Linked DNA regions of Caenorhabditis elegans. The protein of the gene in region 1 interacts with the protein of each later gene in a pairwise test. Each region holds a gene or a part of one and is shown on either strand. Other genes may lie near its edges. The genes, in order: jkk-1, grif-1 and H28G03.2.

The links.
Region 2: the proteins of jkk-1 (region 1) and grif-1 interact in a two-hybrid assay, tested with the Caenorhabditis elegans proteins (one large-scale study listed by BioGRID).
Region 3: the proteins of jkk-1 (region 1) and H28G03.2 interact in a two-hybrid assay, tested with the Caenorhabditis elegans proteins (one large-scale study listed by BioGRID).

What each region holds. Positions count from the first base shown.
Region 1 is NC_003284.9:5,363,704-5,371,379, forward strand, and holds the start of jkk-1 (Dual specificity mitogen-activated protein kinase kinase jkk-1), read left to right. Parts: upstream 1-4,764; 5' UTR 4,765-4,961; coding exon 4,962-4,995; intron 4,996-5,612; coding exon of another isoform or gene 5,613-5,632; intron 5,633-5,651; coding exon 5,652-5,759; intron 5,760-5,909; coding exon 5,910-5,990; intron 5,991-6,037; coding exon 6,038-6,148; intron 6,149-6,196; coding exon 6,197-6,309; intron 6,310-6,727; coding exon 6,728-6,844; intron 6,845-6,890; coding exon 6,891-7,046; intron 7,047-7,105; coding exon 7,106-7,270; intron 7,271-7,541; coding exon 7,542-7,676. Other genes in the region: F35C8.5 (Cholesterol 25-hydroxylase-like protein), read left to right, coding at 2,112-2,207, 2,254-2,341, 2,395-2,672, 3,342-3,431, 3,478-3,582, 3,625-3,870; F35C8.8 (uncharacterized protein), read right to left, coding at 5,613-5,632. UniProt on the Caenorhabditis elegans protein: Dual specificity protein kinase which acts as an essential component of the JNK signal transduction pathway. May phosphorylate jnk-1.
Region 2 is NC_003279.8:1,974,478-1,982,153, forward strand, and holds the start of grif-1 (RING-type domain-containing protein), read left to right. Parts: upstream 1-3,552; 5' UTR 3,553-3,574; coding exon 3,575-3,653; intron 3,654-4,042; coding exon 4,043-4,191; intron 4,192-4,981; coding exon 4,982-5,121; intron 5,122-6,888; coding exon 6,889-7,339; intron 7,340-7,676.
Region 3 is NC_003284.9:5,202,507-5,210,182, forward strand, and holds the start of H28G03.2 (WW domain-binding protein 11), read left to right. Parts: upstream 1-3,313; 5' UTR 3,314-3,317; coding exon 3,318-3,674; intron 3,675-4,013; coding exon 4,014-4,112; intron 4,113-4,163; coding exon 4,164-4,219; intron 4,220-7,205; exon of another isoform or gene 7,206-7,283; intron 7,284-7,676. Other genes in the region: pqn-62 (SAP domain-containing protein), read left to right, coding at 9-146, 201-963, 1,014-1,114, 1,161-1,286.

The DNA.
Region 1 (7,676 bases):
AAAAGGAAGCCCCTGAAAAATCATGTGAAAAATTTCACCTGGAGCAGTCTGAATTGCCATTGCAGAGTTGCGGCAAAACTGAGGGGCAGCTGAAAAAAACATATGAAACCATATTAAAATAAATAAACTACAGTGTCCTGTAACAGAAAATGAAACAAAACGAGCGAGGCTATCAAGTTGAAGTTAAAACTGAAGCCTTTCAGTCAAAGATATCTCTATAGTAACCTGAATAACATTCAATTTTCTAACTCTCCCCCATAATCACACGCTATGCGCTTGCTTTTGTTGATAAGTTTTTTGTCGGTTTTTGTGAAACGAAACGAAACCCAATTAGAGAGAGACGATTGCTATGGGAACTCGGCGCATATTTCCTCTTGGGGTTTTGACATCATGTCTAGAAACTCAAAACTTGAAATCATAATGTATACATCAAGTTCTGTTTCACCAAACAAACAACAAATCTAAAAAAAATTCTAAGTAATATATACAAGACACAACTCAACCTTCAATTTTTTCCTTATCGTTTCCTACCAGATTTATACTAAAAACTGACCTTCATAACTGTAGTTGTATTGTTTCATAGTTAGTGCAAATGCAGTAGCAGCAAAAAACGCGGCACAATGAAAGCGAAACACACCTTGCCACGGCTAACTATGTATTTACTTTTGGCCTACTCTTCCTCCCAAATGTTCAGAGATGAAAACAAATAGATATTACGGTTTGTAAGCAAACGTGTGAACTTTTGAATGTTCGCAAGTCAAGATATAGAGTTGAATTCCGAAAAATAATAGAAAACTGTAGTGAAATTGAAGGTGAAAATTGAAAATTGAGCAACAAGTATAGCCGAGCAACCAAAGGAAAGATATTGTAAAGTGAAAAAGATTTACGATAAGGATTGATTAAAAATTGTACTTGCCTGATGATTGCAAGCGCTTGTTGTTGAATCAAGAACATCAAGAAGCCGAAAGGAAAAAATTCATTAGCCTTTTTGGGAAATGAGCGGTGATGATGCCGTGAAGGAAGTTGTGTGCACTATGTTGAAGTAATAACATATCCGGGTCACCTGAAAGTGTATAAAAAATGTTGGACTAGAAAGAAATGTACATCAAACATTAAAAAATTCAATATCCAGGTCACAATATACTATAGTTCATTTTTCATCTTTCTAGCCAAAAAAAAACTTAATCTTTAGAACTGAGGCTTAATTTTTAAGCTGCGTTTTAAGAAATATGCTTTCAGGCTACTGTTTTCAAGCTGCCTTTTTAGGCTCAGTGATGATAAATATTTTCAGGTTTAGATCTTCAGGCTTAGTTTTTAGGCTTGATTTATATTCTGAGGTTATCAGGTTTAGGTTTTCAAATACGTTTTTCGAAACATTCAACATTTATAAACATTGACTCCACGTGAAAAGTTTCATGAAGTATCAAAAATGAAAAAGAAAAAACCTTCGTAAAACTATGAACATAAAGAAAAAAATTTGAAAAGTGATTGAAAAAAAATTACACTGCTCAAAACACACATTTCAAACATTTTGTTCTGTACCTGTACATCATTTTTTGAAAGCGATGTAACCACTGTGTTTTGTAAAGTTCTTGTTCATTATAATTCACACGTGTTTAAAATAATTTTTTAGTTATCAGAATGACATTACAAGTGGTGATGATAACTGATTAGTAGTAGACATACCGGTTATTTTGCACGCGGTTTTACTCGTTCAATCTTTTGAAGGTTATACAAATCTAACACCTTTCAAAGAAAATGACATACATACTTATTTTTATGGGTGTTTATAAATTTATACTGTTTTCATGTATTTTAGGAAATAAATAATTTTAACGAGCTTTTTTCAAAATTGTATGTCTTATGTCCATGAATGGTAATTATAATTGTAGTCTAGTAGTTATTTTTGTTGAAATTTAAATACTTTGCTTTCAGTACTTTTCCATCATCATACGTCTCTCAATTGGCTTCTACTTGCTCTCTTATCATTAACCATTTTTATGATAACCAGACGCATAGTTTCATTTTCTCAGACCATATTTATTTTTCAATTTATTTGTTTCTTTTTGTATTCTGTTGAATTTTGAGCTACAATTGTGTGGTATTTTTAGATGTTAGACCTATACCCTGTTCAAAATTTAACAGTTGATCAGTTGGAATACGAGAAGAATACACGATTTCTTCAACCGGCATGGGATTGGATCAAAGTTAGTTTCACCTAACCTTTTTTTGTAAATCATGATTCGATTCCAGAATGGAAATGAACACATTTTAAGCTCGCCGCTTTTCCCGCCGTTCTATGCGCTCTCAATCGATTACACTTGGGTAGCCGTTTTCACATGTAAGCACGTACCACGGGTTGATAACATTGAATTAAACTACAAAATGTTTCAGTTATTGACGTGTTTCTGTGCAACGTTCCATTTTTCAAAGATGCAAAAATCCAAAAAGATCGAAAAGTGACCTGGGATTTGATAAAGAAGTCACTGAAGCTTCAAGGATGGAATCAGCTCCTGTGGATTTACCCGATGGCACTTGTCCAGTTAATTTGGGTACCTGATACAGAGCTTCCTATCCTGGCACCAACAGTTTTTGAAATGCTTTCACAGCTGGCTATATTTTTCCTGGCCTTTGATTTCACATATTTCTGGTTCCATTATATCAATCACAAGGTAATTGATAACAAACAACGGTTGCATGTGTGAAGTATGATTGGAGTAGTCATAAAACACGGTTTTTAATAACTTGTAAATCGAGTTACATTGAAACTAATTAGACCATGTTTCACAATATAATTCAAAACCTTCTCTGAATGTATATAATCGGGAACTCACCAGCTACAAATAATTTTTTGTTGTGCAAAGCTCGCCAATTTTCCACCAGGTTTACATTCGTTTAGGCAAAAGTTTCCAAAACGTTGCACATTCCGAGTACTAATTCATATTGCGGAACCTGTCATTTTGTCGAAACGTCCTGATAGGAACTTTTTGATTGTTGCAAACGTTTCAGTGTTTATTTTTACGATTCCTATTATTTGGTTATCCATGTATGCAAAGAGGTTTATTAAAATGTATATTTTGACGTCACATAATGCATTTTAGTTTATGCTATGACGTCATAATTTACATCAATGTTGATTTCTTCATTAGCAGCTTTTCTCTCACTTGAAATTAAGATTCGAAATAATTTTTTACCAACGTTAAGCACGTTTCAGTTTGAATTTCATAAAGCTATTACATATTTTTCAGCGATTCAAAAATTATATTATCAGTGGAATGAATCACTGATAGTCATAATTGTCCTATACACAAATCATGGTAATATCACTCAACATTTTGCAGGTAAAATGGCTCTACCGCTGGTGTCACTCTGTTCATCATATGTACTCATCCCCATTCGCAGCATCTGCACAACATCTTCACCCATTTGAGGTTTTTGAAAATTGAGATTTATAACTAAAATAGTAAGTTTTTTCAGCTGTTCTTTGTTGGAACATTCATCACCACTATCCCATGGATCTTCCCAACTCACTGCTTGACCTACTGGATTTGGTTCTTTATCGCCCAGAGCGTCTCTTATGAGGTATTAAAATTTGACCTTTAAAGTTGACAAAGTTGAATTCAGGTTCACATTGGATACGACTTCCCATTTGCTCTTCATCGCATTTTCTGGTTCTACTCGGGTGCTCCGGCTCATGACATGCACCATCTGAGACCACTGACATGTTTCCAACCGTGGTTCAACTATCTCGACAGACTCATGGGTTACCATATTACCTACGCCGATTTGAAAAAGATGACCGAGGCAAAATTCAAAAAGTTCGGGCTCTATTCAGCTGAAGACGAGAAAGGATTAATCAAAATTAACTAAGCCACGTACATGTATTACCCCGTAACGCAATAAACGAACTTTTTTTGCTGTTGAAATGTGCATGAGTGAGCAAGACTTTTTCGGAACTTTGTGTTTGCTCCCAGACAGACCGGAAAATGTGAAAGTAACTGAATCAGAAGAAATGTGGTATTGAAACGTGAGATCTTGCAAAAGGAACTAAGAACACGAGACTTGACCAAAAGTTCAAAAGGTTGCTTGAAATGTAAATAATTTTAAATCTGAAATATCCCCCACCAAAAGGGTTAACCTGTCCAAATTGTGGTAAATCTATTTTTTTTAATTGAATTTTGTTTTCATAGTCAAACAATCGTAATTCTGAAACGTGGCCAAAAATGTCTACAAGTTTTAAAACAAGCAACTGTGACTCAAACATTTGTTCGGAGTATTATTTTTAACCAGGTGAATCGTTTCTATTTGGAACCTCGAATCGTCTTCAACAGAACATGCTTCACCCAATTTTCTCGCTGATGAGATTTGTGCAGAGGCGCATGTCTGTGTGTCATCGTGTAACTTCTATTTGCCGGCACAAAGAAGATGAGCAACAAAAAGACCTCCTCCAAACTTGCCCCCATTCAAATCGCCCATTAGCGTTTAGCCTTTCTCTCTTATAGGACCACCCATTGAAGCTGCAAAGATTCACGCATCCCAAACGCGTCGAAATAGAGGATGATGGGGGGACCAATTGGAAATGAGACATGCGCGAGAAGAGAGAAAGAGCCGAAGAAAGGAGCAGTTCTTCCCGCATATTTTCACTAGTATGTGTGTGCATTTATAGCCTTCCCCCTTCTCCTTCTTCACGGCTCCTCCTCCACGATGTGGGTGATGAGAGCGAAGAGGGGCCAGACCGGGAGCCCCTGCGCTTCTTCGACTAGCATTGTGCATTCAGAATCGATAGCTGTGTGTGTCTTGCCATTTCGTCTACTACATTGGGCTAGTGGTGCTGCTGCTGCTGTCGCTGCCGCGAGGAACCTCACATACGTCTTCTTATTAAAATTTCGGAACGAGCGACGACGGCCAACGGGTCATTCTTTCATTCTTTTATTTTGTTGTCAACTCTACCTTGGTTTTAAATGGAGAATGTCTGTTTTCAGCAAAGATTACGAGGTAAACATATAATTTTTCATATATTTGTTTATTGTCGGCTGAGTACGTAGCAAAATATTCGTAGATTATGTATATTCCGTTTAGAATCTTTGATGAAAATTTAATGAACTGCAAAACAGGTCAACCAAGTTGCTGATTGCCAGAAAGTAGCCTTAGGTTCGGAAATCATCGGTTGTCGGCTGCCGAAAGTTTTATCGTTCGCCAACTTCGGCAACTTTCGATATTAATTTCAATTGTTTTGTAAATACGCATTCAAAGACCCTAAATATTGCGAATATCGTCACTGTAAATAAAACAATTATATTTTTTCCTCGAAAAACACTCTGAAATATGAGTTTAACAGAAATATATGTTTGAACAACGCCAAGGCCTCGGCAGCCGACGGTTGCCGGTTGCTGAAAATTTCAGCGATTGGCAAATTCGGTAACCGCTCATTGACTGATACCCAGATGATGCTGATGCAATTAATTTTCAACCTGTAACCTAAATTTTAGTGAAACAAGGTAGCCAACGAACTTATACCTCTTGATAAGAAAAGTACTTGGCTTCTCGGGCAATAGGTACCACAAAAACTACTAAAAATAACCAAAGTGTCAATCAGCGCCAAACACACAATCTCATTTCCTCCGTGTTGAGTCTGTAATAATTGATTTTAGATCTGGAGACGAGGGTGAGAAAATGGAAATTCTTGAAGTTGGGATTGACTGAGGTTCGGCTACGGCCGAGAGATCGCCGATCAACTTCGGTAGATCAAAAACATAAAGGTTTGTCTTGAAATATTGGTGTCTAGCCTTCAAATGGCATCATTATTCTTAAAATTCCATCTAATTATTCTTTGTGATGAGATCATCGGCTCAATTCCAAAAAACACGTATGTGTTGTCATTCTTAATTCCCTCAAATTTTGTTTTACAGAATGCTCTTCCACATCTTCAAGTCCTCAACACCAACGGCCGAATAACATTGGGTATTTAACAAGCCCCATGGAAAGAAAATGTGTGCCTGGAGAACGACCTTTAGTTATTACATACATACAATTTCAGTTACTCCGCTTTCCATGAAACCATCGCCATCCAGAAGAGATACTGAGAAAGATGCGTTGGAATACGAGTTTCTAGAAGGGTACAAGAAATCGGGAACATTAGAAATTGATGGTAAGACATACATCAAAGCTTTAATTTTTAAAATCTTTTTCCTATCAGGAGAAAAGCAAGTTGTCGACCCAAACGAGATTCACATCATCAGCCTGCTCGGAAGCGGCTCTTGTGGTGTAGTCGAATCTGCGACGGTTCGCTCAAAATTGATGGCTGTGAAGGTGAGCATTACCCCTCACACGGAGGCAGTGATGTATGGTTGAGATACACATCCGGACCACTTTGAATAGAATAAATCTTGCATGGCTCCAGTATGAACTCTTGAAAAAAGATTGACAGAATCGTTGCATACGCAATTCAAAAGAGAAGGGGTCCTTCACGGGTTATCATGCGGGGGCGAAAAATTGTAGTGGTGCTAAAGACCATTAGAAATTCCATTGTTTTCGTTTTTCTTGATTCAATTGTCAATGCAAAGCAAATGCGTTAGAGAGGAGGAGAGACCTCTAAAATTGGTGGAAAACAAATTTCAGTAAAAATTCTGAACCTCTTTCAATGTGAGAACAGTAGTTTGATAAATGCGACTCTAGAGAATACGTTGACACAGAATCATAACGGTTCCCTCAGCTTTGTCTTCTTCAGACTATGTACAAAAATGACAATAAGGAAAATTTGAAACGAATTCTTCGTGACGTCCGAATTATGTCAATGTGCAATTCTCCGTTCATTGTCACCAGTTACGGATATTTCATGTTTGATGTAAGTGTGACATTCTTATTAACATATCCAATTCCTCCATTTCCAGTCGTCTGTAAAAATTTGTATGCAAATCATGTCAGCGTGTTGTGAGAAGCTGCTGCGTCGCATTTATCATTCAAAATTGGATTTTTTCCCCGAGTTTGTGGCCGGTCACATCGTCTACTCGGCGATTAGTGCACTGGATTATCTCAAGGAAAAACATGTAAGAGATTAAAGAGAAACTGCTGTGCACAAACTAAACAACTAATTCCGGATTTTCAGTCGATTATACATCGCGATATAAAACCCTCGAATATCCTTTTTGATGACAGCGGCAATGTAAAGCTGTGTGATTTTGGGATAAGTGGATTTATGACTGATTCGATGGCTCATTCCAAAAGTGCAGGATGTCCGCCATATATGGCTCCTGAAAGATTAACTATCGAGGTATGAAATTGAATGTTGATCTGTGAACAAAAATGTGCCGGTGGCGGTGACGCCCTCCACGCGCCCGATTTTTCCCGCAACTTGCCCCGGTTCCCTGCTACTAGTTTCGGCTTGATCATGCTTGACATGTCAAAAAAAAAATTTTGAACTTTTTTTTTTGAAACATAATCTTGACCCGAAATGTGGGTCACGTCCCGATCGCAACAGTGAGCCGCGGGGCACTCCTGTTAATAGGTCTAAAAGTAAATAATGAAGTTTGAAAAAATTGCAGACGAATTCCAAATACGACGTTCGAAGCGATGTCTGGTCATTGGGAATCACTGTTTACCAACTTGTCACTGGACTCTACCCATTTCCACTAAATGACATGGAATTCACAACTCTCACCATTATTGCAAACCTGAAT
Region 2 (7,676 bases), on another chromosome or scaffold:
GTTTAAGCCTAAGCCTAAGCAAAGGCCTGAGCCTGAGCCTAAGCCTAAGCTTAAGCCTAGGCCTAAGCCTAAGTCTAAGCTTAAGCCTGAGCTTAAGTCAAAATTTGAGATTAAGCCTAAGCCTAAGCCTAGCTTTTAACATAAGCCGAAGCCTAATCCTGAGCCTAAGCGCTTAACCTAAGCCTAAGCCTAAATCAAAAATTGAGATTAAGCCTAAGCCTAAGCCTAAGCACTTAACCTAAGCTTAAGCCTGATTATAAGCCTAAGCCTAGCACTTAAATTAAGCCTAAGTCTATGCCTAACACTAGGCCTAAGGCTAAGCCTACGCCTTAGCCTTAGCTTAAGCCTGAGCCTGAGCCTAAGCCTAAGCCTTAGCATAAGCCTAAGCGTAAGCCTTAGCCTAAGCGCTAAGCCTAAGACTAAGACTAGCACCTAAATTAAGCCTAAGCCTAAGCACTTAACCTAAGCCTTAGCCTAAGCCAAGCCTAAGCCTAAACTTGAGCCTAAGCCTAAGACTAAGCCTAGCACCTAGCCTAAGATTAAGCCTAATCCTAAGCCTATCACTTAACATAAGCCTAAGCCTAAACTTGAGCCTATGCTTAAGCCGAAGTTTGAGATTAACCTTAAGCCTAAGCCTAACTCTTAAAAAGTTACAAGAAGGTTTTTCCTTGCGCTTGGAGCGCAAAAGAAAAGAAAAAGAGCTATTTAGACTTAGGGTGCCCAACTGGAATAAAACATTGGAAATCCCAATCCAACCAGCCTAAGGGCCCGAAAAACATACTAGGATGCCCAACTGGAATAAAATATTGGAAATCCTTATGACACACCGGCGGTATGGCGCGGCTTAAGCCTAAATAGCCACTTTTTATCAAAATACATTTGAGCGAGGCGGTTGTAAACTATTCGTTCTTTAGCAAAAATAAAAAAAAAACTTTATTTAAATTTAAAAATAAATATCATATGTTATCACACCTTAGAATATCACGCCTTAATTTAGTAATCATTTTTAGTTCATAAGTGTGAGAGAAAGAAAAATGGATTAATCATCGGAATTAGATATCATCAGAGTGATTATATTCATCAAAGGTCCCACTTTACTGGAGATTTAATTTGGTTGATATAAAATTCCTATCTCATGTAAAGAAAGGTTCGAATTCTGTACCTATGAATACTGCCGATATTTGAATTCCTGTCTCATGGGAAGAAGGCCTTTCTTGTGGGAAGAACGGAGTTATAAAAAAATATACGCAGGTACAGAATTTGAACTTTTCCTCCCATGAGATAGGAATTTGAATATTGGCATTCTATAACTTCACTAAGAAAAAAAATCTCCAAAGGTTGATCGCAAATATGTAGAGATTGCTCGCATCCCTTCAAATATTACAAAATTTCCAAGTTTCTCAGTAATCTATAGTTTTCATTTAGATTACTGAAAAATATACACAGATTACTTTTGAGTCTGAGAAGTTATTGTAAAACGCAAAGCGAGCTCAAATGTATTTTGATAAAAGTGGCTATTTAGGCTTAAGCCGCGCCATACCGCCGGTGTGTCATAAGGATTTCCAATATTTTATTCCAGTTGGGCATCCTAGTTTTTTTTCCGGGCCCTTAGGCTTAAGTGTGTCATAAGGATTTCCTATATTTTATTCCAGTTGGGCATCCCAAGTCTAAATAGCTCTTTTTCTTTTCTTTTGCGCTCCAAGCGCAAGGAAAAACCTTCTTGTAACTTTTTAAGAGGGTTTCATATATTTTATTAAAATCGGGGCGAAGCCCTGATTTTAAATCCATATTGTTTTTTTTTGTCTTCCTCTATCCCTGCAAATAGGAAAGATAATGTGTTCTTTCTGATGAAGTAAAAATCATCATAAAATCTTGAAAACTGAGAGCAGGAGGTAATATTTGAATATATTGGGTCGTAAATGTGTGTCTCTCTGTGGGTGGGGTGGCGATGTGTTGGCAGCCCTTCAACGAACTGTATCTCCCGCCTGTATCTCCCTTCAAAGAGAGAATTGGGTTACAAAAATTTGAGGGGATATGAAAAAAGGTGTGAGAATTTCAAAAATATTATTGTTGAAACACCAGACCAAACCACTTTTTCTGGGCAAGAGGCAAAAAATTAATTTTTTGAAAAAATTTCAAACTGGCACAAAATTTTTTCAAAAATAAATTTTTCACAAATTGTTAGTAGATTTCATTTTTCATAAATATTGTTCATTGAACACAAAAAAGAAAACAAAGATTCATCAAAAAATGAGTGAAAAATCGCAAAAATTCGAAAAAATCAGTGCTGAAAAACTCGATTTTTTGGCGGTGCTGAAAAAAATTTTCACTAAAATTTTTTTGAAACTTAGTTTTTCGGATTTAGCGTCAAATTTTGAATCTATATAAAAAAACAAAATTGAAATTGATCTCAGATTGAGTGAATAATAAACGCTCAAAGTTGAAAAATGAACAACGCAAAAACGGCAGTAACTTGCTTCAAGGTCGGTTATCTCAGTGAGTTTTCACTCAATTTTCGAAATTTGTTTGCTCTATCGCTTTAGAAATATTTGTAATTTCATTTGTTTTCCTCAAAATCAAAATATCTCAAACGACCGCCATCCTACGAGAAGGGAAAAAAAAAGTTTTTGGAAAAAAAATCAAAAATTTTTTTTCTGCCTCGATTTTCAAAATGAAAAAATCACTTTTTCGGAATAATTTTTACTTTAAAATGTACCTACGATCTTTTTATACAACAATTTCACCTTGGAACCAAAGATTTTTGGAGGATACTCGAAAATACTCTTCATATCTCGGCTCAAAGAGCTCCAATCTTTCTGAAATAAAGCATACAGAGGTGGGGCAAGCTTCTTGAAGAGAGAGCAAAAAACCGCATCAAAATCCATCCACCCACCGTCAAGTTACACGCGCGTTTTCAGAGTGAACGAAAAACAGGGCATAAAAAAATTTAGACGCCCGCACCCGGACTCGAACTTTTTTCAGATTTACAAGCTTAATATCTCGGCTCCTGTAAATCGAAATTGGCTCAAAATTCTCAAGAAACCTTATCCTGCGTCCTTCCTGCTGTCATTAAATTTTCGTGAGCTTAGGGAGAAAACTGACAAAACGCCAAACTTTCAAATTTAAAAAAATAGTTGAGGGTCATTTTGTAAACACCTTAAGCTCCATAACTCGGCGAGTTTTGATGGAATCAATTTGAAATTTTACACGGAAGCTTCTTAGTGGCTTATACGTCTCTGTGTTAAATTTCGCTTTGATCGGCCAACGGGAACCCTTTGAAAAATGAAAAAAACGCTGTAATCCTAACCCTAAATGGCGAGCTAACGCTCGCCACTGACGCCAAGCCTAGGCCTAATCTCAATTTTAACTGTAAAAATAACAAAATTCCCTATTTTTCTGTCAAAATCGAATTTATCTAGGCTCGCAAATTTTTGATCTACCATCTCAGATGTTGATCTACTATCTACTTTTCGGCGCCAAATTTCCAATTTTGGGTGCAGAGACTCTGTTTCTTTGAGTTTTCCGTTCGATTTCCGCTCATTCCGTCTCCTATTCCTGTTCTCTGTGGACAAAAATGTACAGTTTCAAAAGCAGCACCGACGTGAAGACTTATATCAGCACCCCGTCGTGCCGGATATGTCTTGAGCCATTTGGTTAGTGAGTTTTTGTTGGCTTAACGGCTTTTTTCGTCAGTGTTTGGCTATTTTCTTGCAAATTTTTAGGTGTTTTATCGATTTTCACATTTTTAAATACTTAAAAAGCTTGATATTTGAGCGAAAAATCAAGAAAATTAAATTGCGAAATTTTTTAAATTTTTTAAATACCAACGACACTCCGATCTTACACCCGTGCGCGTTGTTTAGCGTAAATTTACAAAGCGAATTTTCAGTTGGTTTTCTCGAATTTTAATTGAAAATCTTGAAAATTAGTGAATTTTTCAGCGTTTTTATGGATTTTTCCCTTAGAATACAGGTTTCTTAACCGAAAACACAATTTTCCTCCAATTTTTTCATAAACATCTTTGAAAAAATCAATATTCCAGACGAAGGACAACATCTTCCGAAAATCCTGCAATGTGCCCACACGGTCTGCGAGAGATGCATCGGTTTGCTCGACGAGCAGAGCCGAATCAACCACAATCGGCCGCCGATCGACCGCTCGTTTGTGCACATTAGATGTCCAGTTTGCAGGGTATGTGTTATCAATTAATTAAAGGTGGACTCCGCTCAGTGCGGAAATTGCTTTAAAACACGCCTATGGGGTCACAATGACCGAATATCTTGATTTAAAAAATTCAAAAAAATTTTCTAGATTTTATATGATCTTTTGAAAATTGAAAAAATCTCAGTTTTTGCCTAATTCCTATTTGAATTTCCGCCAATTGGATTTTTTCGGTGGGGCGCACTTGCACGTTTAAAAATTTTTTTTTTTATTTATTCTTATTTTTCACCGATTTTTAATGTTTTCGGTGTATTTTTGCTTGAATTTTAGAGAAAAAGCCAAAATAAATGCAGATTTTCGATTAAAAAACACGATTACAGGCGTAAAAATGAGAAAGTAACGCTTTTAAACGATTTCGAACCTGAATTAATTAATTTCACTGATTTACGCCTGTCAGTGTGCTTTTTAATCGAAAATTTGCATTTATTTTGACTTTTTCTCTAAAATTCGAGCAAAAATACACCGAAAACATTAAAAATCGGTGGAAAATAAGAATAAATAAAATAATTAAATTTTAAAACGTGCAAGTGCCCCAACGAACAAATCCAATTGGCGGAAATTCAAATAGGAATTATGCAAAAACTGAGATTTTTTCAATTTTCAAAAAATCATATAAAATCAGGAAAATTTATTTGAATTTTTTAATCATGATATTCGGTCATTATGACCCCATAGACGTGTTTTAAAGCAATTTCTCCACTGGCGCTACTCCACCTTGAAGATTAAAATAAAATTTTTAATGAATTTTGCTGAATTTCAGGCAGTCACCCAGACTCCACGCAACTACATTCGATCCAACTACCAGCTAATCGAATTGATGGATTCGATGCGTGGAGAAGCCGATCATAATATTTCATTCCTCGCGTGTGTCGGCTGTAATGGCGTTTATCACGAGAAAGAGTGCGTTGGAAACTCACGGCCTCACGGCTCACGCGGCACCTCACGAACTCCAGAATTTGCGGGAATTTGTTTAGCGCGGGACAGCAGTTTTTTGTTATTTTTGGCTTCTACGGAAATTATTTTTGATTTTTTGATCTATAATATTCTTGAGAAGCATCCTTCGAATTGAAAATGTGAAAAATTATGAAATTTGAGCGAAAACTGAAGGTTTTACAGTAAGGAGTTCTATACTTTTCTTTAAAAATGCATCAATACCGCCAGTTTTTTGATTTCAGAGTCGTAAAGTATGCCATTTTGTAGAGAAAAGTCTGTTTCACAAAAATCCATGTTTGAAAATTGAAAATTGTTTTTATTAAAACCTGAAAAATCAAAAAAAAAAAAAAGATTTTAATGTAAAATTGTTGATTTTTTGAATATTTTTATATTATAAATTGAATAATCAGAATTTCAAACATGGATTTTTGTGAAACAGACTTTTCTCTACAAAATGACATACTTTACTTACTTACTTAGGATACTTAGTCGATCCGTTCTTCGCCTGCGGCGCGGATCACAGCTTTCCAAGCTTTTCGGTCCTTTGCTTGGGTGGACCATAGTTGTTTGACTTGCCCGAAGGCGTCTCGCGTAGTGACTTCTTTTCTTAAAGAGTCATTCCATCTCATCGGTGGGCGTCCAACGGGTCGTTTCTCGTCTCGGGGGCACCAATCGTTCATCAGAGTTGTCCATCGGCCATCCGTTCGTCTCGCCACGTGTCCAGCCCATCCAAGTTTCCTCTTTTTTATGTGTATTAGTGGATCTCTGAGTTTTGACTTTTCTCGAACTTCTTCGCGATGAATGTTTCGTTCGCGTTGTTCTGTCAAGGTGAGTCCAACTAACTTTCGTTCGAGGGCTGCATGGGTTACTCTGACTCTTTCCACTAGCTCTTTTGTGAAAGTCCAAGCTTCAGAGCCGTAGGTCAGGGCTGGGAGAACCGTAGAGTCGAAGAGATTTGCACGGAGGCGTGGGCAGGTGATCTGGTCCGTGGTGCTTTTGATGTTGGTAAAAGCTGCCCACGCAGCTCTTCGTCTTCTGTGAAGCTCAAGCTTTTTTGATTTTTTGATCTATAATATTCTTGAGAAGCATCCTCCGAATTGAAAATGTGTAAAATTATGAAATTTGAGCGAAAACTGAAGGTTTTACAGTAAGGAGTTCTACACTTTTCTTTAAAAATGTATCAGTACCGTCAGTTTTTCGATTTCAGAGTCGTATGTCATTTTGTAGAGAAAAGTCTGTTTCACAAAAATCCATGTTTGAAATTTTGAAATTGTTTTTATTAAAACCTGGAAAATCGAAAAAAAGAAAAAAGATTTTAATGTAAAATTGTTGATTTTTTGAATATTTTTATATTATAAATTGAATAATCAGAATTTCAAACATGGATTTTTGTGAAACAGACTTTTCTCTACAAAATGACATACTTTACGACTCTGAAATCAAAAAACTGGCGGTATTGATGCATTTTTAAAGAAAAGTGTAGAACTCCTTTCTGTAAAACCTCCAGTTTTCGGTCAAATTTCATAATTTTATACATTTTCAATTCGGATAATGCTTCTCAAGAATATTATAAATCAAAAAATCAAAAAAAATTTTCATAGAAGCCAAAAATAGCAAAAAAACTGCTGTCCCCGCGCGAAACGAATTCCCGCAAATTCTGGAGTTCGTGAGGTGCCGCGCGCGAGCCGTGAAACTGTGAAAATTCAGATTTTAATTAATTTCCCCAATTTTCAGCACCAATATTTGCACTACATGCTCCCCAATCATCAAGGATGCTCATCCCACTGAACTCATCGAGCAAGGAGTAATTCTGAATCAGTACGCGTTGTGTTCGACGTGTCTCCTCAGAGATCACATCAAAAAGAACCACGTGTCGATCAGTCTGCAGCCTCTTCGCGTCGAAATGCAACGCCAGGAGAATCAGCGGCGGATAGTCGGCTTGCAGGACAATTTGCACAAAGTGCAACGCGATTTTCGTGAGCAGCTTAACGCGACTATGGAGCGATGGGCCGGATGGAATGGGAGCCACGATTTGTCGATGGATAAATTCCGTGAGCTTGGTGATACGTACAATCAGAAGAAGGTTTATGATGCGTTCGTGCATCAGCTGAGAGGCAAGACCGCTAAGATTGAGAAGCTCGCCGAGCACGTTTTGCGATGGAATGATGAGCTGGACAGGGAGATGGTGCGTTGAAGATCGGGGCCGCTTTTTCAATTTTTTTGAAAATACAAAAACTAAACTTTTTATTCCGAAAATTTAAATTCTGAAATTTCGAAAACCTTTAAAGGTGGTGTAGTCGAATTTTTTTATTATTTTTTTAAAATTTTATTAGACTCAAAATTGTCTGAAAACACCGAATTTTATAATGAAACTTCTTGAAAACTCCAACTTCTCAAAAAAAAACTTCTGACGGCTCGAAAAATGTCCTAAAATTAGTTAAAATTTGAAATTTGACCGACTTGCAAAAATTTTTAATCAATTTTAATATGTAAAGCCTAAGTGATTTTTTGCCAGAAAAAAA
Region 3 (7,676 bases), 160 kb from region 1:
AATTGCAGGATGGCAGAACAGCTCTCGTTATTGTTTCTTTGCTACATGACTATCGTACGACTCGAGAGCAGAACAACCGTGCCAAATCAACGACTGGCGAGCAGCCTGTTGTAGCTGATAGCACAGCAGTGGAGGTTACAAAAAAGGTAATATAACGTGACTATCTTTGCTTTTTTTTTAAACTCTGTGCATTTTTTCAGAAAGCTCCAGCCAGAAAAAGGAATGCCAATGGAACAACAAAAACAGCACCGAGCAAAAAGACTGCGCAGCAGAAACAGGCTGTTGATAACGATGTGATTCAGATTATCTCTTCAACGAATGAACAAAAAATCCCAGTTGAACAATCTCAGCAACAAAATCAACAGCAAAATTCGCAAAAACAATTCCTCGAGTTCCACCATCCTCACGTGCCACAAAGAGTTAGCTCGCAATCTGATGTCGACATGGAAGCAATCTTCAAAACTGTCATTGATGCTTCACGCAGTCAACAAAAAGAAAGTCAGACTAAACAGCAACAGCAGCCTCAACAACAGCAATATGATAATGAAGTGATCTCGCTTCCATCTGAAGTATCTTCTCCAATGCGCACACAAAGCCAAAACAGCGTACAATCAGTGTTTTCTGATGGCTCTTACAGCAGAAATATGGCATTCCAACAGGAAAACTCGCCACAGGAAATAACATATTCTATGAGCAATGGTGCTGAATCTAATACTTCTCAGCAAAATGAGTCACCTCTTCAAAACTCCCAACATTCAGAGGTTGTAAGCAAACAGTCCGATATTGTGGAAATTCTACCACAGTTTGATCAAAATGTGATGAACCATGACGTGAATCAATTCCATAGCAACATGATTTATAATGAAGATTCGAATCAAGAATTTATTGCTCAAAACAGTCAAACGCATGATCTTGATTTCGACTTCCCAGACATTGATCAAATGGTCGCTAATATTCGAGATTGTAAGTTACTCCAAAAATGTTTCAGCCTCTCAACAGTGTATACTTTTTAGCCGATCCTCTGAGCTGCCCACTAGACGATATTGATTTGACTGCAATTTTGAATAGCTGGACCGAGACTTCCGATCCAAAACAGCAGCATACATCTGCTGATGTAAGTCATTATTTCAAAAAGGCAACATTAAATATGTATAATTTAGATGAACATGTGTGATGACTTGGTGTATGATGGATCACAAATGATCAATCAGGATATGAACTGGAATGACTATGACCCTCAATCAAACATTATTAATCAAGCATTTGAGCAATCCCAAATCAATTGATTTTCTAACCAATTAATTCTTTGTTAATTATTACCTTATTTAAATATTCCAAAGCCAATCATTTTTAATTTTTTTACATTTTAATCCTTGCGTTAGAATTTGATAGCTCTTTAACTAGTTTTAATAATAATTCCTCCTTGCATTTCCAAACCTGTAAAAACTTTCCAAAAAAGAAAACTTTCCCAAAAAATTTGTTCCAGTCTATAAAAATATTCCTTCTTCCACGATTCCCAAATTTATTCCGGTTTTTCTTATGTTCCATAGCTCAATAGTGTTCATGCTCTTCTTGCAACTAGATTACTTTCTACCGTGCAAAATAGTTTTGTTCAGTATATTCCACATTCCTATCAATTCCATCCCAAAACATTCAATATCTACTACTATTTCTTTCCATTAACTTGAAACCATTTTGTCCATCTGGTCGTGAAAAACAAAAATAAACACCTGTCATTTGCATATGAAGTTTTGTGAAGCGGAAATCCATCAAGTGTCGGCGAGAAGTCGAGATAATTGAGAGTAAGGGGAAAATGGATGTAAGAGCACGGACGATTAGAAGCGAGTTTATGCTTTTCCTGCACACATTTACTAACATCATTTGGCAGGATGTGAAGATGTGGTAGTTCAACGCTATAAACAGATAAAAGGTGTAGAGAAAATTTGGATTGTCTTCAGCTTTTCAGAAGTACGCTATAAAAAATGTCCTCAATAATTGGTTGGAAACATGGAAAATTGAAAAACGTTTAAAAACAAAATTAAAATAGCGTAAATACCGTCCAAAACGGTCCCAAAATTGAAACTTCATGAAATTCAGGTATATATTGTGTTCACAAAGTTATGCTTCAACGGCATTATAGGAACCAAATAAGAACAATTGAGCAATCAAATTACAAAATAAAAATTGTTGAATTTGAACAGGTTTTTCTTAATCCCGGCAATCAGTGAATGAAATTTGTTAGTATTTCTACTTTGATTTCGTTTTTTAAGCTTTTTTGACTATCTTGTTGCACAATAACTACACAAAAAATAGGTTCGGGATTTAAAAAATGTTTTCTAAGAGTTGAAATAAAACTGAATCAAGAATGAATCTGCACGTTCTGAATCAAATTTCGCTTCCAGAGAAAATAAATAAAACAACTTTTCGAAGCGTGTGAAAATTTTTAATCATGATTTAGAACATTTGAAAATTATTTAAACATGTATAATTGCTTTTTAACATTTTAGAAAAATGAATTTAATTATCATTATAATTTTTTCAAAGAGAAGTCACTCATAATTTATATTTTTCTCGGGGTGGTACACGGACCAATATATTTTTGATTTTTTTTACCGACCGAACTGTATACAATATTTAATACGTAAGTTAAAAAACTGGCAATATTTGCAATACTTTTTCAGTTAAAATGCGAAAAACGTTTAAAAATGGATCCCCCTATCACCTAAAAATATGTTTTTTAAGTTAATTTATGGGACTGAGGTGTATGTCCCGGATAGTAACGATTTGCTCATCATTAATTCATGTTTTTTTTTGAATTTATAATGTTTTAGTGCCATTTGTGGAAAAAAATCCTTTTTGAATAGCATACAACAATACTTGCTTTAAAAACTAATCGACAAAAAAATAGATTTGCGTTTCAGCGATTTAGTTATTTGATCAAAAAACAAAAAGAAACATCAAAAACTATGAATTATAAATTTCCTTGAAAACAAAATTAACAGTGTAAAGATAACTAAACGGAAATTTATTTGCTTTTTAACGATAATGAAAACAAAGTAAAACTTTTCATTCCCTTCTTCTATATTTTTCATTAATTTGGTGCATCTCCATCTGCATCTCTATAAAAACACGTAGCCACCAATATTCTGCAAAAGAGTGACGACATATCGCCTCCCCAATCTACAGGCACAGCAACATAGCGTGTGTCTGTAAGAGACGGCGAGAGAGCGAGCGGCCGTGGCCTAGCGTTTGCACTCAATTCCGCGGAGTCCGCGAGAGCGCTCATTTCTTATACAGTCCTCATTCTGTGTGCAACAATGCAACGTGACAACGTCATCGACTCTGCCGGCAACCCTCCTGTTGAAAACCCGGATATCGATTTGCAAGACGGCGAAATTGGAGAAGAGAGTTTCGAGGCAACGCAAGCATATTTGCAAGATATGGAAAATTCCGCTGAAGCGATTGCTCTGGAACGTCAGAGAGCTGAAGAAGCAGTTATGGCAACAATGGATGAGGATGACGATGGGCTCAATGAGTTTGGACGGCCAAGAAATCCGCCAAGAACACCACCAGAGCCAGCTCCAGAAGGCCAACCAACTTGTGAGTCTATTGGTTTTGTTAATGAAGAGTTCGACGATGTCTCGGATGATGGCGAGATTCCTGGAAGAAAACGAGTAAGTTATCATGCTTTTAAAATTTTTTCTTGCAAAAAATTCGTCGGTTTTCCTGCGAATAATATAATTACAAATTAATAAATTTAGTAAATTTTAAAATATTAAAAAAAAATGTCTTCGCAGATGGGCAAATAGCATTTGCCCAGTGAAAAAAAAATCGATAATTCGGCAATGTGTTGCCGTAGAAATATGGGTTTATACGAATGAAAATGTGCATCCAATTCTACTTCGCTTTTGCAAAAAAAGGAAAGCAAAATTATCATTTTCGAAATGGCAAAATTATTAAAAACACATGCCCAAATCATATTTTCCGCACAAAATAAGAAAATTGTTTTCCAGATTGGACCAAAAACCCCACCAGAAGAGCCGGAATCTCCAAAACAAATCGAGCAAACTCGCGAGCAAGGAAGCGATGGAGAATTGACTGGAGACGATATGGTATGGAATTTATTGTTAAAAATTTTTAACAAGTATCACTCAAATTTACAGGAGCCGATTCCAATTATCGAACCAAAACTGAACAAGGAAAGCAAACGTGAAAAACGGTGAGTACTAAGTCCTGTGATACAACTCTGTTCATGAGTCTGGAATTCTGAATGTTCTGTAATACCGTATGTCCTCTATTGGTTTTGCACCCCTTCGCTCAACTTTGACAGCTCATATCTCATTTTGTTATGAACATATAAATAATTAACAAACAACATACTATAGAAAAACATCTAACAAATATTTTATCAGTTGACAACTTTTCTATAAAACAAACGACTACTGAGATATGAGCTGCCAAAGTTGAGCAAAGGGGTGCAAAACTAATAGAGGATATACGGCACTTGAAATATATACATTTGTTGATTTAATTAGGAAACATGTTGAAAGCACCTTGTAAACTATACATTACAATGCGCTCTACCGAGCCACCTTGACTGATATCTTTAGATATAAAGTTTTCTGCAGAACGTTTATGAAAGAGCTACTTTTATTATTTTATAAGGAGTTTTAAGTAGCAGTCACGTTAGCTGACGTTTAGAGTCACGTTTAGAACCATAGTGAGTTTTTTTTTCCGTGATTCGTTTTAAAAGAACATTGATGTTTTCTTAGAAAAATATTTCGGCTCAATTTACTATTCTTGTTCGGTTAACACTGAACACTAACTATTTTGGTTCCGGCGTGAGCAAAACAAGCCAACTACCACAAGACGGAAAAAATCACAAATTTAACTTCAAAACATTGTTCACTTTGCATTCTAAGGAAAACTGAAGACAGTTGATTTTGTTAAGCAAAGTTGACAGGTTTAGAACAACTTTACTTTCACTTATCAAGTTTTACAAACACCATTGTTAAACTGTTGCAATATTCTTGAAAAAATTGAAAAAAAAAATCCCCTGATGTTTACAACATTCTTTCCGTTTAAATTTTGTAATTCTCTGCGACTTAACAACGTTTGAACGTAGGGTACATTACTTTTTGAAGCGAACAATACCCATTCAAAAACCCCCATTCCAATAGTCATAACAAGGTCCAGTTGTTAACTCTGTCATTTTTATCGCATTGCGAATAGTGGCAGGTATAGGCGATACTCATTCTAGTTTGCAATAATGCGAAAAGACTTACAGTTTCGCAGATTTATAAACATATTTTCAAAGAACATTTTTAATTTGATAGCACGTAGGAAAACGTAGGAAACAACAATACATCGTTTGTAAATGATTTGTGCTTTGATTTTTGCTGATTTGATTTTTTCTTCACCGATAAAACAACATACTATCAAAGAATGAATTCGATGTTTCTTCTTATCGGCTTCTTCTTCTTCTTCTTCTGTGCTAACCTAACTCTGGTTTTTTTTTACCTTTTTGTTTCTTGGTTTCTATCCGTTTGTTCTATTCTCAATTCCCCACAGTGTCAACATGTTTACTCTAGTTATCTAGTTATATTTTCCACCTACGATGCGTTGGCTCAGCGGCAGGGAGAGAATATATATTTTTTCCTTCTCTATCTAGCGTCTGGAGAAAACTTCTTCCCCACCCTCCGATACATAAATTATAGGCGGGGTGTCGAAGAAGGAGGGTCCACAAATGTGTAGTTTTCTCGATTATTGTCTAACATCCCATGCCACCCGTGGGTAGAGGGAGGCCTCCTTCCCCACTCTCTCCTTTTGGCAAGTTTTTGCGTTTCGGCCGAAATTTTTGAAGCAATGCGTTACTTTGCATACCCGTGAATATATTAGTTGGTTGTTTCTTTTGACAGGCCCCGCCATACTACCTCTCTCGCCAAAACGAAGGGCAATTCAGCAGCTCATCTCGGCACACCTCGGACAGCAGGTGCGGTTTGGCGGCGGCGGTGGAAGATCGAGTTTCAAGGCGAATGATGGGACCCCACGAGTTCATCCGAAGCCATCATCTTTTGAGTATTTGGTTGCTGCCTGTTGCGCCTGCTTGCCCTTTAGATGTGTCGGACTCTTGTCACTCGATATTTTGTTATTTAGGACCCTCGGATATATTCGTTTCATTTCTCGTCTTTTTCTCTTCTTCTTATTCATTTTCTCAACTTCTTATCGCTCGTTTTCTGTGTTGCGGAAACATTTCCAACGTAATTCTTTCGTGACGCAAAACCAAAAGTTCAGTGACCTCCGCATAGTTTTCACCAGGAATTGTATTTCTGTAGTGCATTGTTCAAATTATTAAAATTCAGTGGGTGATTAGAGGAAAGCATTTGGGCTCACATTTCCGAAAATACCCCACTTTTAAGTTTTAACAAAAGTTGAAATCAAACCGAGAACAAACTACCGTGCTACAAGTTTTCTTATCAAGTGAGATGAGTGCAATCGGGCAATGTGGACAAGATCGATGGTGACCTTCATCAAGAATAATGTGTTTTCATTACTTTTTGAAACACTAACTTCACTTGATCTCTGTAGTGCCGGGAATATTTTTTTTTCTCTAAGTGTTGTTTTTCTCATCTACTACAAAAATTTGTCAATTCGTGTTGCTCTTAAAGAAAAAAAAAGAAAAAGCAAAACAAAATAGAAAGAGACAAAGAGAATAGCATGGCAAAATAAAGACGCCCAAAAAATGTGGACCCTTTTCTAGTAGCTTGAAATTCTGGCTGGATCGCTTCTGGAAGAATTCGAAGACATTTACGGAGAAGAAATCAGGAAAAAAAAACTAGAAAAGATGGGCGACTCGCCACTTAACGACCCCCAAAAAATGGATATCTTCTATTTGTTAATATTCTAGTTTTGATATGTTTTGGCACGCTACAAACACGTAACCGGCGGCTCCAAAACATTTGCCACGCTAGTGACGCATTTTCTGCAGCAAAATTAATTATCACACATAGTTCATCTTTTCGTTCTCTATTGATATTGGTCAAACAACCGCGTTTGAAAAAATGAAAAAAAAAAATACTTCTCAAACTGCACGTCCGCAACCTTTTTTCTCCCAACAGTTTAATGAGCCCCGTTGAGTCGCCCGGGGGCCCTCCGGGGGTAGTGAGTTGGCCGTGCGGCTTCTCATCACTATCCATCACTTTTGCTCTCCCGTTTTCTTTTTCTTTTCCACCTGTGGCACAGCTATCTTTAACACCGCGTAAAGCACACTGCACATTGTACTCGCAAGGGCCTCACACAGAGGCACTACCTCAGTCGTCGACTCGGCTCCGTCCGACTGCTCTTCCATTCAAACAGTCTCTTTTGTTTCTACACACTAGTAGTGTCAGTTATAGTCTGGGACATAGTGTAAGCCGCCAAATAGTTTTTGGTAGATATCTCGACGCCATCTGTGTCCAGAGCGCACTTTTCAAGGTCACCCACTCTTTTTTTTTCATCCCATATACTATAATCACGTCACGTCACTCACGTCCAACCTATGAATGTTTCACGAAGGACCCCCCAAGTAATCTTTTCGTGTCGAAAAAGTGGAAAAGAAAGGATTAGTTCGGCATCAGTTAGGCCCATGAATCTATGAATGTATCCCAACATTTTATTTGCAAGTATTCAATGGTATT